Tamandua tetradactyla: one gene and its partner. The protein of the gene in region 1 binds, or shares a complex with, the protein of each later gene. Links are inferred from orthologs where the notes say so. Each region holds a gene or a part of one and is shown on either strand. Other genes may lie near its edges.

Region 1 (7,647 bases):
TACCAATCTGTGTTTTACTAATTCCACCTTCTAAATAGGCCTTGAGTCTGTTTCTCCTCTTCATGCGTGGTGCCTGCCTCATCATTTCTTAGCTAGATGATGCTGAGTCTACTGTTTTACCCCCACTTTGGTCTTGCTCTTCTCCCATCTATCCTCCACACTAAAGTCAGAGTTTTGGTTATTTTTTCCTAACAGTTAATTTTTTGACTGTGTAATATGTGCATACATTCCAAAATAAAAAAGTTACAAAAGGGTATATTGGGAAAAGTGCATCTGTCTTTTGCCCCTGACTCTTGGTCACTTCCCAGAGGCACCTATAGCTACAAATTTCCTGGGTGAAAAAATGTATTTCTAAAATGCATGTGCTTTACATCTTCCCATGGTTCACCACTGTTTACAAAATAATGTGCAAACTGATAAGAGCATAACAGGACTTTCAAGACTCAAGATTTACATACTATTTTCTCTAAGAAATCCATCTACACCTTCTTTTGTAACCACTTGAATTTCTCCAAATAGTCTTAAGCTCCTTAGTTCTGGGAAATTGCATATGCTTTTCTCCCTACTTGGGATGCCTTCTCCAATTTCCCCAATCTCCACGCCAACTTTTTCTTTGAGTAGAAAACTTCATCTCTTAATATTCACTCATAAGATATTCAAGCTAAAGACTTTGAAGACCTCTAAAGTTAAAGGTTTAGCCCTCTCTTCATTATGATCTTTCAGGATTATGTTTTAGTTTGCCATGCTTAAAATGGCAAATACCACACAATGAGTTGGCTTAAACAATGGGAATTTATTGCCTCACATTTTTGAGGCTAGGAAAAGTCCACAATGTAGATATGAGCAAAGCTTCCTTTTTCTCCAAGGATTGTATAGGTTCTGGGGCTGACTGCCAGCAACCTTAGGGTTCCTTGGCTTCCCTATAACATTATGATGTCCTCTTCTTTATCTTCCAGGTTTCTCCTGACTTTCAGTTTCTCATTAAGGCTTCCAGCAATCTGATCAAAGGCCTGCCCTCATTCAATTGGGCCACACACTCAAAGAAAAGCAACATCTTTAACAAGACCTATTTACCATGGATTCATACCTACAGAGATGTGGATTAAGATTAAGAACATGTTTTCTTTGGGGTATAAAACTCAGTCTATCCCATCCACCCTCTGGACCCCCAAAACACATATTCTTCCCACATGAAGAATACCTTCATTGCATCAAGATACCTCAAAAATCTTAAGCCATTTCAGTAATAATTCTAAGTTTAAAGTCTCGTCAAAATTAGACATGGATGGGGGTGAGAGGGTAGTTCAGCTGTGGAATTCTTGCCTGCCATGCGGGAGACCAGGGTTCGATTCCCAGCCCACATACTTTCCAAACAAGCAAAACAAACAAACAGAAAAGCCAAACAAAAACAAACAAACAAAAATTCAACAAATGGTGCTGCAATAAAGGGATACTCACATGGAAAAAGAATGACATGTAACCCCCGCCACACTAGCATACAAAGAAAAAAAAAATTAGACATGGATGTGAACTGTCCTGGGGCAAAATTCCTCTCTGTGAAATCTAGCAAACAAGTTATCTGTTTCCAAAACACGATGAGAGCAGAGGCATGGAATAGTCCAATTCTAGAAGGGAGATATTGGAAGGAAAGGAAAGGCCAGAGGTCCCAGGCAAGTCCAAAATCCATCAGGGTGAATTATGGCGAATTTCAAGCTTTGAGGGTTATCTGTGGATAGATGTGGGTGTACTGAAATGGCAGCCCACTCTTTCCAAGTGATTGTGCAGTGGCCATCTGCACTAGGTCTCTGTGCTGAGACCTAGTTTCTCCCCAATCAAATATCTGCCCCCAAACTGGGGTTGTAGACCGCACTCGCTTTAAGTATTGGGGTACAGCTGAACTCTCCCCATGTGCTGGGGTGTAAAACTCAACACTTCCAAGCACATGGGCAGAAGGCCTGCCACCTCCAAGCATAAGGACAGACCCATCCATTAGGCCTACACCTCTACTTCCATGACTCTACCACTGAAGTCATTCTTTTTTCAGTTTGTCCATACTCTGTTTCTTTTAGTCCACTGGAATGTTCACCTGGATAGTGTAGGGTCTAGCAAGCTATGATGACCTTAAGAAGAAAAGACTAAGACTAGACATACCAGCCTTAAGCTCTGGAGGGCTAGAGAGGAAGCAGATGACAACCAATTACTCAGCTCTTCCTCAAAGGAAGTTCTACACCAAGGTATTGGATCAGCTGGGTATGTTTTTATCAATGCTAAGACACAATGTGTCTTCTTTGAACTAATAAAAGTTGAAATACTGAAGTTTGCAAACAATTTATCCCCACCCTCACTTCAGTTAAGGTACAATGGATTCAAGGTTACCTCCATAATTTTCCTCCTGCTCAGTTACATTCCAATATACTTTGTCGAGAAAAGGGGCAGATTTACAACTGATGGGTCAGGAAACCGGGTATAAACCACAGTCTACCTTATCTATTCTTCCACCCTAGAAGAATGTCCGGCAAGTGAACATTATCTATCTTGGGTGGGGGGAAAATAGGGAGAACTGCTATCTTAGACCATGAGCTCCTCCAGGGCAGAGACCATGACTTTTCATTTTGTTTCTTTCTCCTGTGTCTGGCAGTTATCAAACTTCAAGAAAAGAGGGGATGAATATTTGGGAACAGATCAATAGGAGGTTGGAAAGGAGGAAGGCTGGAAATAGTTGGACATTTTTGGGGGGTACAGGGAATCCTGCTCAGGTAAGGCAGATGTGTGGGTTGTTTTACCACACACGAAAGAATGAAGGAAATAGAAAAAGCAAAGGAATAAGGAAAGGAGGCTTATTATTTACCTTCTTGGGAACTGGTAGATGTTTATTGGAATCAGGTTTTTAACTCAACATAAGAAAACAAACAAACAAATCAGCAACTAAAGCCGCTTAACCAGGCATTACAGGAGAGTGGAGAAGATAACCTTTAAGTTCCTGCCCAATCCTATTTTCCATGATTCTAGGTTTTGTTTCCCCCTTTCACTGAATAGTGGCATTTAATGAATATTATTAAATAGATTTGCAACCTGAAATAACATCAGAGCAGAAACAAACTGATAGTTAACAGAATCCAGAGAGCAATTTGAAGAGATCCCAAATACCTGAGTTGTAGAAACTCAAAAGGCAAACAGGGTAAGCCAAAGAAGCTAGAGAACGAAAGTTACAACAGTAACCCCTGCCCACTCCCCAAATATCTCAATAATCAACAATTTCTGAACTTTTGGGCCTTCAGTATATGTGCAGTCCATAGTACAACAGAGACTTGGTTATCTGAGCAAGTCTACTTGGAACTGTTCTCTATTTTGTGTACTTCTAAGCTCAAGGTAGGAATGATTGCTTCCTCTGCAAGTATTCTGCTTTGTACAAAGCAGTGTTTAATGCACATTCCTTTGCTTTCATAAATAGAAAAATATATGTAAACCAGGAGAGCTGGGTAGCTGATTTTTGTTGCAAAGAAAAATGATATTTTGTCTTTTTATTTAAATACTATTTTCATGAATAGCACAACTTTTTGCCTACTGATAACAGGCCTAGGTGCTATGACACTGCAAATATGAGAGCACTTAACTGTTTTTTTGATGAGATACTTGATTTTGCTCCGTTAGAGTAGCATCGAGTAAGAAACTCACTTAAATTTCGATACAAATAGACATACTCTCCTTCTTTTCCCTATGAAATGGCATGATTTCATTCGTATAGACAACAGACGGTCTCGTTTATTGCAAGTGTAACAAACATTTGTCGATTGATCTGGCCGATGTAACTGTAAGCCTTGTTTTCAGGCCAATGAAATTTACATTTTGCTGATAATTTAAAAATGTGAATTCTCATATTCCAAAAGGGCTGGGTAACAACCCTTCCCCCACTACTTACATACATCCTCAACCTGCTCCCAGCAGCAGAGCTTACTTCGACAAAGTCTACTTGAGTTGCCCAACAACAACTTCCGCAAATAAAAGTACAAAAGAGCAGTGGGGAGAAACCACAAGACGGTGCAAGTGAAAACTCCCTACGGCTTCCATAACGCATCCCAGAGGAAAAGATAAAAATAAAGTTTAGAAATACAGTGGCAAAGTCGTGTTCAATCCAAGCTACAGTAGTAATAAACCACGCATCTGCATCATTCAAGCGAGATTCCCGGTGCACAGCTCCGCTTTTGGAATCACACTGGGAGCAGTCCCCCGGGAGCCTGGAGTGACCACAGCAGGAAGAGACTCCACCCGGGGGGAAAGGAGCGGAGGGGCCACCGCCTTTCTCTCGCGCGCAGCCCCCTCCCGCGAGCAGATGGGCAGGCGCCCGGGGCCATAACGATGCTGGGCGAGGTAAGGGGTACTGACGGTGACCCCGTCCAGCGACCTCCGTTCGTCCCGCCAGGGGGCGCGTCTGTACACAACAGCCACTGCGTGGACCAAGCGGGTGGTGGTTTGTTCAGGTCTGCGGCTCCCCTCGCGCCTCCCCGCCCACCCCCGGCGCGGCACGGCCCTGCCCGCCCCCTCCGCCCCCTCCCGTAGCGCCATGCGCAGACTCAGTTCCTGGAGAAAGATGGCGGCAGCCGAGAAGCAGAAACACGACGGACGGGTGAAGATCGGCCACTACATCCTGGGGGACACGCTAGGCGTCGGCACCTTCGGCAAAGTGAAGGGTGAGGACCCCCGGGGCAAGTTTTGGCCCCTGCTCGGGATCCCGCCGACTTCCGCTGTTCCCACCTCCTCTTCTTTCCCGGTCCCCCTGCGCTCCTCGTCTCCCTCGCTGGACAGCCCCTGTCCAGGCTCCGGCCAGAGCGGGGCCCGAGACTGCCGCGGGACTGCGACGCGGCCCCCCAAGGCCGGGGTGGGGTGGGGACCGAGCTCCATGGCGATGGCGCCGCGGCCAGAGGGGGCTCGTCGGTGCCAGGGGTCGGGTTGCGGAGGTGCGAACTTTCCCAGGTGTGGAGTCGGGGAGTTGCGAGGCGCGCTCCCAGTGCTGGGGGTGAGGGGTGGGGACGGCGCCGGGGTGCCTCGCCAGGAGCCCCACGGAGGTGGCCTCCTGTTCGTCCCGCGCTGTGCTCCTCTGGATCACGGCCAGCCCATCGCTTCCCCGGCAGTCCTGGGCATTGTCCCTGTTTCCGTCTTCTTCAGGCTGTGGACTTATCTGCTTCTGCAGATTGCCGACTGTGAAATGTGTTCCCCGAAGAGTGAGGTTGCTTTTGGGAGGTAGCCTACAGAATTACAAAAACAAAACAAAAAACCATCCATCTCGTCGAGGAGGATCCTTGATTTCCTTTGGAGCAGTTAATGAAGTTCTATATTTGCAGTGTATGGTTTACGTTCTGAGTGCGGACACCGCGCATCAGTGTTTCTGAATTATCAGGATTTTCTCATTCTGTGTGCTGAACCTGCTTGTTGGTGCAGATGTTTCCTCCAGACAGTAGTTATTGGTTCGTTTGTATAGTTCATTTCCATTTATTTTCACAGAATGTTACTTCTATTTTAATAAACAATTTAATGTACATCATTGAACTTTTTTTAAGTGGTAGTTTCTTAGCGCTTTTGTTTCAACACAGTATTATGGAAATAACGAACGTGCTCTCCAGTTCACTAATTCTGGCACAAATATAATTGCAAAATGTATGGGGCATTAATGCTTTTTTTCTTCAAAATTGTGACTTTGGTTATTAGAGATGTAGATCAAATAAGTATGAAACTTATAAAAAGAATTTATGAGAAAGAGAAAAAAAATTTATGCATTGGTTTTGGATAGACTATGACTTGCATATATTTACTAAGCACCTGGCAAATATTTGACTTGAAAGAAAAAAGTGGTTGAATGTCTGTACAGTGAATTAAGTAACAGTCTTACTCTCCTGGAGCTAAATAAACATTTTCTGATTTTATCTAGAGTTGGAAGAGGAAAACCCTTCCTTCTCTTGCCCTTTCTCAGTTATAGAACCAGAAATTTGCTGTGAAGTGTACAGGGAAGCAGCTGCCTACAACTGCTTGTGAAAATCAGCAGGGCCAACAATGTAAGGAAGTAAGAAGCAAATGCCAGAATAGAGTAATAACATTCATTAGAGTGGGTCTCTATTAGACTAGTAATGTTTCTGAGGCCTCAAAGTTATTATTTTGGCCCCATCTCCTTAATTTTAGCAATTACTGACTGCTCTTTAGTTTACTAGTACTTGTAAGAAATTCTCATTAATGTCCCACAAAGATGCCGGAACCCGGAGTTCTGTTTGGATTAGGGTGTTCTTCATTCCCCTAATTTAGACCTGAATTTGATCAGGTCTCATTTTCTTATTTGCTAAGTGGCTTTTGGCATGGCAGGTAGGAAGGCAAGAAGAGATTTTTCATTTTCTGAATTTGATCTGTGATGTGGTTGTGACATGGATTCTTTTATTCTGCTGTCCCTTAGCCTTTACTTCTCCTTCTCCCTCTTGAAGTACATACTCTATCAAGTCAATAACTTCACCAAATATAGATAGACCAATATTGGTCATAAGATCAGAGGTTTGTGAATAAAGGTATGTTTGTTCATAATACGTTAGTTGATGTTCAAAATCCTCAACCAGTGCATTTTTATGTTGTTAAATAGTTAGGATGTTTTTTGTCATGAGTAAGAGAAAATGCACCTCAGAGTAGCCAAGAATATCTTTTCAGAGCAACAAAGTCTATTATTTCTTGAGTGAGTCTCACTGGCTTATCCAGTCCCTTTAGCTAGGGATACCAAGTGCTGACTGGCTTAGGCTTGTGTTCCTAAGTAGGAATTAGCAAGGGGAATGGCATTACTCTTGTAGGAATAGGGTTCACTCTGGGATGTGTGTGTGAGGACATCTTCTGAAGTACTTGGATAATGTGTGTATGGGGCGGGGTGGAGAGGCAGATACCATATATATTGCTAGGATAGAGAAAGGGGAACATGGGTGCTGGGTGAGTGGGCAAAAGTAGTGATCATAGTGGTGACATTAGTAATTTATACCAGCCTTAGTTTGACAAGAATTCTTCTGAATGATAGGTTTAGTAATTTATTTCAATTGAGACACTTTGGAATAGATAGAGCTTTTAAAATTTTCTTTTAAACTTTCTTTGGTGTGAAATATATATACAGAAAAGCAGTAAATTTCAAAGTACATTTTAACCAGTAGTTATGGAAGAGATTTCCAAGTTTGATATGGGTTACAGTTCCACAATTTCAGATTTTTCCTTCTAGTTACTCCAAGACACTGGAGGCTAAAAGAAATACCAATATAATGTAGCAGTCATATAATGTAGCAGTCATACTCATTGAATTGTCTTTTGTGTTATAATGCCTCTGTCTTCTTTGATATAGATAGAGCTTTTAGAGTTAATTATAAACATTGATAAATTTAACATTAAAAAGAAATCTAATAGATATGTTATTGAAAAGCAAAAAAATTCTCAATATGATCTGTGTTTACAGGAAGTATTTTTGGGAGAAGAAATCTATAGATTTTTTTTTTTTCTGTTATAGGCAGAAACAAAGCAAAACAAAATAAAATATGAGACATGTTCCCTTCTTACCACTTGGCCCTAACTTGCTGCCTAGAATATATGTCATAGCTGTAATTCCATCTCAGGCCATGAGTAAAGACCATACCCAGAGGA
Region 2 (8,114 bases), on another chromosome or scaffold:
TTCCGAAAACAATCAACTCCTTAGTTTCTTTTCACTATCATCCTTTACCTCAGGACTTGGCAACAGTAACCAATGTGCCTGATGTTTTTGTTAATAAACTTAAATGAAGCAGAGTCATACTCCTTACTTAGATATTTTCTACAAGGGCTTTTGCATTACAACCACAGAACTGAGTAGTTATACAGCGACTATATGGCTGCAAAGTCTGAAATATTATCTGGACTTTTACAGAAAAAATTTGCCAATCCCCTCTTTAGACTGGATTAAATAGCTTTAGTAAATAGGTAAATACGTGGGACATGATTTCCAGAGGTGAACGTCTCCCTGGAGGCATGGGAGATGACTCCCAGGGATGAGTCTGGCCATGACACTGTCGGATCGACAATGCCATCCTGACCAAAGGGGGAAAAGAAGTGTAATGAAGTATCAGTGGCTGAGAGAGTTCAAATAGAGTTTAGAGGTTAGTCTGGAGGTCACTCTTGGCAAGCTTCAGTCAGGCATTACTACCTATCATAACTTGCCAACCCCCAACCAAAACATTCTTGCTGATCCTAAAGAACACCTAGGGCAGTATGTAAGATTCTACAAGGGTTCCATGCACTAGAGCAACTTTCCAGAAACCTACAACCTTCAGATGGGTCCCTGGACCAGATAAGTCCTGAAACCTAGAGGGCCCAGCCTCTCCAGAACATCAGATAGTTTCATCTCCCTATCCCATATTAGTGGCAGACCTTTCCAACATGAAAAAGTTAGAATGAGCATAACCCAAATACCCTTAAAGAGTAGGAGAGAGATCAAATGTGATGGTGGAGTTATACAGTGAAGGTAGGTCCAACAAATGAGTATGAGTGCTGAATCATTAAATTCATGTTTCTTTTAGTCTCCAGTATCTCAGGGCAGCTAGAAGTAAAAACCTAAAATTGTGGAACTGTAACCATATCAAACTCTGAACTGTGTTCCACAACTAATTATAGTGCTGTGCTTTGAAATTTATTGCTTTTTTGTATATATATTACTTTTCATAGAAAAGGAAAAAAAATTACCACAAAAAATAATGTTAGTTAAAAATAAAGGATGATATGGAATCCATTTGTGTCCACAAATAAAACTTTACTGGAACACAAAACAAAAAAAGGATGACTTATTCATTTGGGCTTTCCTTCCAAAATGGTTGCAGTAGCTTACCTTCTCTACTGTCTCTTGATATTCCTCAAAATTACACTCTGAAACACAATCCAAAGTAAATGGAGAGAGAACTGAAGAAAACTTCCAATTATATAAGGTATTGGCTTATGTAAAGGTACAAAGAGAATTAGGAACTACCGAACTAAGGAAGGCTGACAATGCCTTAGTGACTCTCACTATCACCCTTTCTATCAGTTACTTTTATGCCTTTGGATTTTACATTTAAAATATGAAGGCATAAACTATTAATATGCCTAGCTTTGGAGAAAGGCCCTTTCCCGTAAGACACGGCATCTCTGAGGGAGGCACGAGGACAGCCGACAACAGAAAGACTGTTTACTCCCAAGTTAGTCAGCAAAACTTCCCAGAAGCAAAACAACTAGTCTCGAGTTTGAAAGCGTTTAAGTAAAAAAAACGTTGAGGCAAGAAATGAAGAAGACAGATTCAGAATTTCAGAATTTTATTTGGAAGAGACCTTAGGAATTACTTAAAATAATTCCATTACTTCACAAATAGCAAGTTTGCGGTGAGAGAAAGAAAGATCCAAAACTGACCCTAATTCAAAGACAGCAAGCGTGGCTTTAATTAAGGCCACATAGTTTTAAAAAAAACTTAAATCCCGAGTCTTCAGCGTAAGAAAAGGTTAAAAATACAATGAGGCCCGTCACCTTGAGTATAATCTAATGGCTGTGTAGACAGCCTAAAGGATTTAGTAGTCCTGATGTGGGGCAGGGAGAAAAGGAGGGGTAAAGAACCCCCCAGAAATGCGTTTCTCTCTGTGATTATTTTCTTAATCAGGATCCAAGAAAATACCAGCACCACGGACTCCCAATTTCAGAGGCCACCAGTGTGGCTGGAGACACGGCCTCCACTCTCGGCAGCCCGGCTCGGGGGCAGCGGGCGGGCAGGACGAGTCACCGAACACCCGCCACCTCCCCCCCTCCCGTGTCACCATCCCCCCCCCCCCCCCCCGAGGCGGCCAGCGGGGTGCAGGACCGACAGTCAATGCTAACCACTCCAAAACGGACGGAGGCATCAGGATGGTAACAAGCACGGGGCAGTCACCACCTTCCAGGGAAGCTGTGGGTCTCTTTGAGCCGTGGCCACGCCGAGGTACTGCGGGGAAGCCGAGACGCGCGAACACGCGGGCCTGGACGCGGCAGCAGCACTGCCTCGGCACCCCACTCGAAGGCGCAGGGTGGAGAGTGGACAGTCACCAGTGTGGCCGGCCTTCACTGGTCTCCAACAGGATAAAGGTTCCACGAGCACGGTTCCGGCTGAGAGCCCGGCCAGAGCGGCGGAGGGAGAGGCGCTGAGCTCCATTCCCCAGCTCGGGGGCAGAGAACTGCCGCCTGTGCGCAGCAGCTCCGCAACCATGTCCAGCTCAGCAGTCCTCCAGAAGAGCCCCCAGGCCCGCCAGAAGAACGAGGGGTCTGGGGGGTCTGTTAGTCCCGTCCTAAAAGGCGGCCACAGATTGGTCAGAAAACCAGGAAAATAACTCCACCTCTTTATGCTATTTTTGAGGCTGCCTCGCTAGAGGCCAGCCAGAAAATCTGTCTAATTAAAAAAACCCTCAACCCAGACCAGTGAGAAGGAAGAGGCGCCCCGAAACCAGGCGCACCGCAGCGGCGCAGGCCGGGGCGCTCACCTTGGGGTCGGGCAGGCTGAAGACGTTGGGGTCGTCCGTGCTCCCCACCAGGATCCGGTGCTCCTTGCCCGGGGCCTGGCCGCCCGCGCCCTCGCCGCGAGCAGCCTTGGCGCCGTGGCGCTCCCCGGACAGCCGCTCGCTGGCGGTGTTTCCCATGGCCGCCGCGCGGGGCCCACCTAGGATGGAGACGGCTCGGCCGGGCCTGCGCCGAGAGCCCGAGGGGAACCCCGCAGAGGAAGGCCGGCCGAGGCCGGGCCAGGACGCGCTTCCACAGGCGCCGGAAACCGCCGACCCCTCACAGGCTCCTCCTCCTCCTCCTCGGGAGCCGCCTTCGGGCGCCGCGACCCCTCACAGGCTCCTCCTCCCCCTCCCCCCTCCCCCTCGGGAGCCGCCTTGGGGCGTCCCGACCCCTCACAGGCCCCTCCTCCTCCCCCTCCTCCTCCTCGGGAGCCGCCTTGGGGCGTCCCGACCCCTCACAGGCCCCTCCCCCTCGGGAGCCGCCTTGGGGCGTCCTGACCCCTCACAGGCCCCTCCTCCTCCTCCCCCTCCCCTCCCCCCTCCCCCTCGGGAGCCGCCTTCGGGCGTCCCGACCCCTCACAGGCCCCTCCTCCTCCTCCCCCTCCCCTCACCCCTCCCCCTCGGGAGCCGCCTTGGGGCGTCCCGACCCCTCACAGGCCCCTCCTCCTCCGGAGCCGCCTTCGGGCGTCCCGACCCCTCACAGGCCCCTCCTCCTCCGGAGCCGCCTTCGGGCGCCCCCGCCAGCCCGTGCTCCCTGCCCCCGGGCGCCCCCGCTCGCCATCACCTTCCGCGATGCTCTCCCTCCTCCAGGGCCGCTGGTGCGATGGCTGCTGTGCAGATGAGACCGCCCAGGGCGAGGACCCGGGTTTCCTCCTGAAGTGGCTGCGAGGCCCGCCGTGCAGGACCCGCCTCGCCCTTCCCCGAGGCCGCCTCTCGCGGCGCCGGGTCCCGCTGCCTCTCTAGCCGCCGCCGCTGGATGATGGGCCGCTCGGCAGAGCCGCCCGCCGGTGGGGGCAGGGCCCGGGGGCGCCGAGGAGACGGCGGCGCTGAGGGACGCCCGCCATGCCGCGAGCGTCGGGCCTGCCTGCTGCCGGTCTCCGGAGCGTTTTCTGGGCGGTGTCTTGCTGATGAGCGACCGCTGGGAAGTCGGGTTCGGGCGGGGAATGAGAAAGCGGGCCTCCGCGTCCCGGCAGAAGGAAGCGTTGTTACGGCCCCAGGTTTACGCTGGGTGGTGTCTGGAGCGACAAGTGGAAAGGGCAGTTAACCGACTGCGGCCCCGGGGAAGGCTTCAAGGAGTGGTAGGGGAGTAGACCTTGAAAAACAAGTAAAATGCTAGTCCAAGGAGAGGAGGGGGAAGGCTGTTGTAGGCTAAGGCGAGTGCAACAGCAGCCTCAGAAGGAACAGTAGTGAAGAAACAGCATTAATGAAAACAGAAGAAACAGTGGTTGCATAGAAGGGCAAAGACCGTCTTAGCTTTTTGTTGATAATTAATGGAGCTTCTGTGCTGGTGACTAATTACTGCTTTGTATTGTAATTATAATTATATGCATGTCTCATTTCCTACTAGAACCCTTTGCCGCTCACTGGTGATCCACAGACATCATTAGTGTCGCCTGGAATCGGATTAAAATACAGAATCAGGCCCCATCCCAGACCTACAGATTCAGAGTCTGCATTCTAACATCTCCCTGGTATGTGTAGGCACATTAAAAATATCAAAACCGGCAGAACAGGCTCAGTTCTGATTCCTGTTCATGATCCATACGGAATCATGTGCAGAGTAAGCTTTTAATAAAGATTTGCGCAAGAAAGTGTGCAAATGATCACTATATGTCTTACTTAAACCCAGCCGATGATGGGGACCACCGAGCCACAGCAAGGCTGCATTTTCTGAGTAAGCAGCTCTATTGGTGGAAAAATACATTTTTATATGAAGTTGGAAATTCACTTTACTTCAACGAATCCACTTCTCCCCTATTCTTCTGTGGTATGCCCCTTCTCCAGTCAGACTTCCTTTGACTCTTGACCAAAGGCAGTTTGCAGGAAGAAAATACCCTTTTTGCTACAGCTTCCTTCTAAATCTTGATAAGTACTTCTGTTTGATTAACGCTCATCATCCCCCTAGTTCCTTTCAGGCTTTCCTTCAAGTCCCTTGAAGGAATAATACATTAAATCTTGACTTGTGTATGAATTAGTTTTCAGACTCTAGTTTCTCCATGCTAAATGTGTCCCTAATATGTATATCCATGCCATCGTCCCATGAGTTTAGGAAAAGCAAACCTAGTATTATATTAATCTATGGAAAACTTAAGAAGAGAAATAAACTGTTTACAATTTACCGTATTTCAAAACCAAATGGAACTGTTTTCTATTATTATTATTTTGGGGGGATTATCCGTGACATTGTTCTGCACTAATAGCATTTATAAATCAATCAACAGTTAAAAATAAAAGTCCTCTTTGCATAGTGCATGGTTTAGACACAAAACGAAAGCAGTGTGACACTGTAGGAAGGGCTAGGTACTTCTCCCTAGCCCCCGATTATTATTTTTGATTAGACTCAGGGATGACCAGGTAAAGAAGCACCCCTAAACCATGGCAGTAGTTTTATTGCTGTTATCTCAAATGCTCCATTTTCTTTCAGGATGGAAGGAAAAGAAATAGTTAATAGGCAAAGTAATTGGTGAGGGTCCCCATGCTACTGCTATATCTAGAAAGGCATTGCCAGATCTCTGATGAGCCATTCTACCTCACAGATTGAGAAAAATAAATCATGGGAGGGCCTCACAGCACAGTAAAGGTACTAAAGTTGTCCTGCTTCTTCTGAGATGTGAGGATGTGAGGCTGGAGGAAGAGTGTATTGATTTTACAGAACTAGATGAAAAGTTAGACTGGTTTGAGGGCCTGATTTTCTCATCCCATCTCTGCTCACCAGGGGTCACCCCTCATTTGTGATCAAGAATGGATGTGACCTCTGGTCTTGGTGGTTCTCATTTCAAAAAGCAATCGGCTCTTTTGTATAAACGTTACAAATTAAACATACACTTATTATTCAGCCTAGTAATTCCACTCTTAGGTATTTATTTGTGTGAAATAAAAACAGGTTCACGTAAAAACCTGTGCACAAATGTTTATGTGTACTATGACTTACCTGTTTTTATTCAAAAACAAACTCCCTCCCGTAATGAACTGATAAATAAAATGTGTTCTAGCCATACGATGGAACACTATTCCGCAATAAAAAGGAATAAAATGATACCGGTAACACAATCGATCAATCTCAAATGCATTAGACTAACAAAAGAAGTAAGATTCCATTTGTATGACATTCGTAAAAAGCGAAACTATGGTTCAGAAAACAGATTAGTGGTGACTGGAAGTTGTGGGTGGGGGTGTGGTTGGTTATAAAGCACAATGAGGAATTTGGGGGGGCTGGGTGTGTTATGGAACAGTTCTAGTATCTTGATTGCAGTGATATATGTGTTTGTCAAAACTGTACTGTATGAAAATCATACCTCAATAAAATAATGAAAACAATCTGTCCAACCTAATATAATTATCAAAATTAGTTCTAGCAAGAGGAAAGATACAAGTTTCTATACAAAGATTGCTTGACCATTGCATAAACTGATTATTTTTAAAAATGAACCATTGAATTTATATTTTTATACAAACTAAGAAGTGGTAGTGAAGGCCATGCACTGCCCAATGAAAGGAGGAGGGACCCAATTTACAGGTCCAGAATTTTCCCCACTAATTTTAAAAACCATTCTGTTTATGGTATATTGCATTCCAGCAGTTTACAAACTAAAGCATATGGGTTTTCCTTGAAGCAGAGTTTCAGTTTTCTATTCCATAGCTCCCCAAACCTAACTTAGAATAGCAATAATCATTTATTTGTTCACAGTTATATAACAATCAGTGGGGATGGTTCATCTCTGCTTCATGTGGTATATTTTGAGGCTCAAATGTCCTAGATGATTTCTTTTGTCGTATGTCAGGTGCCTCAGATGAGATGGCTGGAACAGCAAGGGGCTGACTGGGCATCTCTTTCTCTTTATTGTTTCTCCATGAGTCTAGCTTGGTTTATCTCATAGCATGGCAGTCTCAGGTTAGTCTGACTTCTGACATGGTGGTTGCCTTACCTCGGAGTGCTAAAAGCTTAGAAGACCCAGGATATCCATCCCACCGCATTCTGTTGGCTAAAGTAGTAGCAGGGCCAGCACAAACTCAAAGAGAGGGGAAATAGACTTCACCTCTTGATTAGACAGTGGTGAGCTCACTCATAAAAGAGCATGTGGTACGAGAGTTATTATTGCAGCCATCTACATGATCTACCACACATAGGGTTATGTTTTTGTCTCAACTTTAAAAAATATTGAAATTGTTAACATAAAGTAAATTTTCTGTCTTCTTTAACACATGCAGTGAACATAGCTGTATCTTTCCTTAATGACTCAAGGACATCACCCTGAATGAAATCATATTTCTCCAGGGCACACCTGTCTGGGGTTTAGAGTGGGATCACAGTGACAGTAGAAACTCAGTTTCACTGCTTTGTCATCAGCTGCAGGATCCTAGTGACCTATAGAGCCTCCTTGGGTTACCAATGAGAATTTCCTAGAGCAACCTCATGTATTTACAAAAAAAAGTCTCCCAGCCTTCCCCACTTCCACTAGGCACTGCTGCCACTTCTGTTTATGCACCCCATCTCTGCTGTACCCTAAAACCACCTGTTTTATTTTTCTAGGCTGCTTAAGCAATTACCATGAAAAAGAGTCGGAATAAACAATAGGAAGTTATTCGTTCACAGTTTTGAGGCCAGGGAAATTTCCAAATCAAAGCATCATCAAGACGAAGCTCTCTTCTGTAAAACTGGCACTCTGGGGCAGCTACTGGTGATCCCTGGTTCCTCGGTCACATGGCAGGGCACACAGTAGCATCTCCTGGTCGCTTCCTTCTCTTTCGGGTTCTGTTTCAGTTTCTTGCTTCCTCTGGCTTTCTTTCCGTCTGAATTTCATTCTCTTATAAAGGACTCCAGTAGTAGTATTAAAACCCTTCCCAACTGAGGTGGGACATACTTTATTTGAAGTACTCTCCTCAAAAGGTACTATTTACAAAGTGTTCACACCCACAAATGGATTAGATTTAAGAACATGGTTTTCTAGGGTACATGCAATTTCAAACCACCACCACACCACCCTGCTTATTTCCCCCTCAGCACCACTGTACCTCCAGATGGAGCTACCACTGCTGCTGGAAT

The links. Proteins that work in one complex are often made in the same cells at the same time.
Region 2: the proteins of PRKAA1 (region 1) and PRKAB2 are in contact, whole or in part, in a crystal structure (PDB 4RER), measured with the Homo sapiens proteins. The link is inferred for Tamandua tetradactyla from reciprocal best matches to the Homo sapiens genes PRKAA1 and PRKAB2. Residues at the interface, in NP_006242.5 of Homo sapiens: Gly20, Val22, Lys40, Lys42, Asn59, Arg60, Gln61, Lys62, Val69, Arg73, Val93, Ile94, Ser95, Thr96, Pro97, Ser98, Asp99, Ile100, Met145, Met175, Ser176, Asp177, Gly178, Glu179, Phe180, Arg199, Leu200, Ala202, Pro204, Glu205; in NP_005390.1 of Homo sapiens: Val80, Arg82, Ser84, Ser108, His109, Asp111, Ile115, Ser138, Asp159, Phe160, Glu161, Val162, Ala165, Leu166, Ser182, Ser184, Gly190, Gln191, Glu192, Met193, Tyr194, Ala195, Phe196, Glu199, Arg201, Lys203, Ser204, Pro205, Pro206, Ile207.

The regions. Positions count from the first base shown.
Region 1 is NC_135335.1:90,938,888-90,946,534, reverse strand, and holds the start of PRKAA1 (5'-AMP-activated protein kinase catalytic subunit alpha-1), read left to right. Parts: upstream 1-4,529; 5' UTR 4,530-4,561; coding exon 4,562-4,688; intron 4,689-7,647. UniProt on the Homo sapiens protein: Catalytic subunit of AMP-activated protein kinase (AMPK), an energy sensor protein kinase that plays a key role in regulating cellular energy metabolism.
Region 2 is NC_135330.1:95,889-104,002, forward strand, and holds the start of PRKAB2 (5'-AMP-activated protein kinase subunit beta-2), read right to left. Parts: upstream 3,168-8,114; 5' UTR 2,990-3,167; coding exon 2,834-2,989; intron 1-2,833. UniProt on the Homo sapiens protein: Non-catalytic subunit of AMP-activated protein kinase (AMPK), an energy sensor protein kinase that plays a key role in regulating cellular energy metabolism.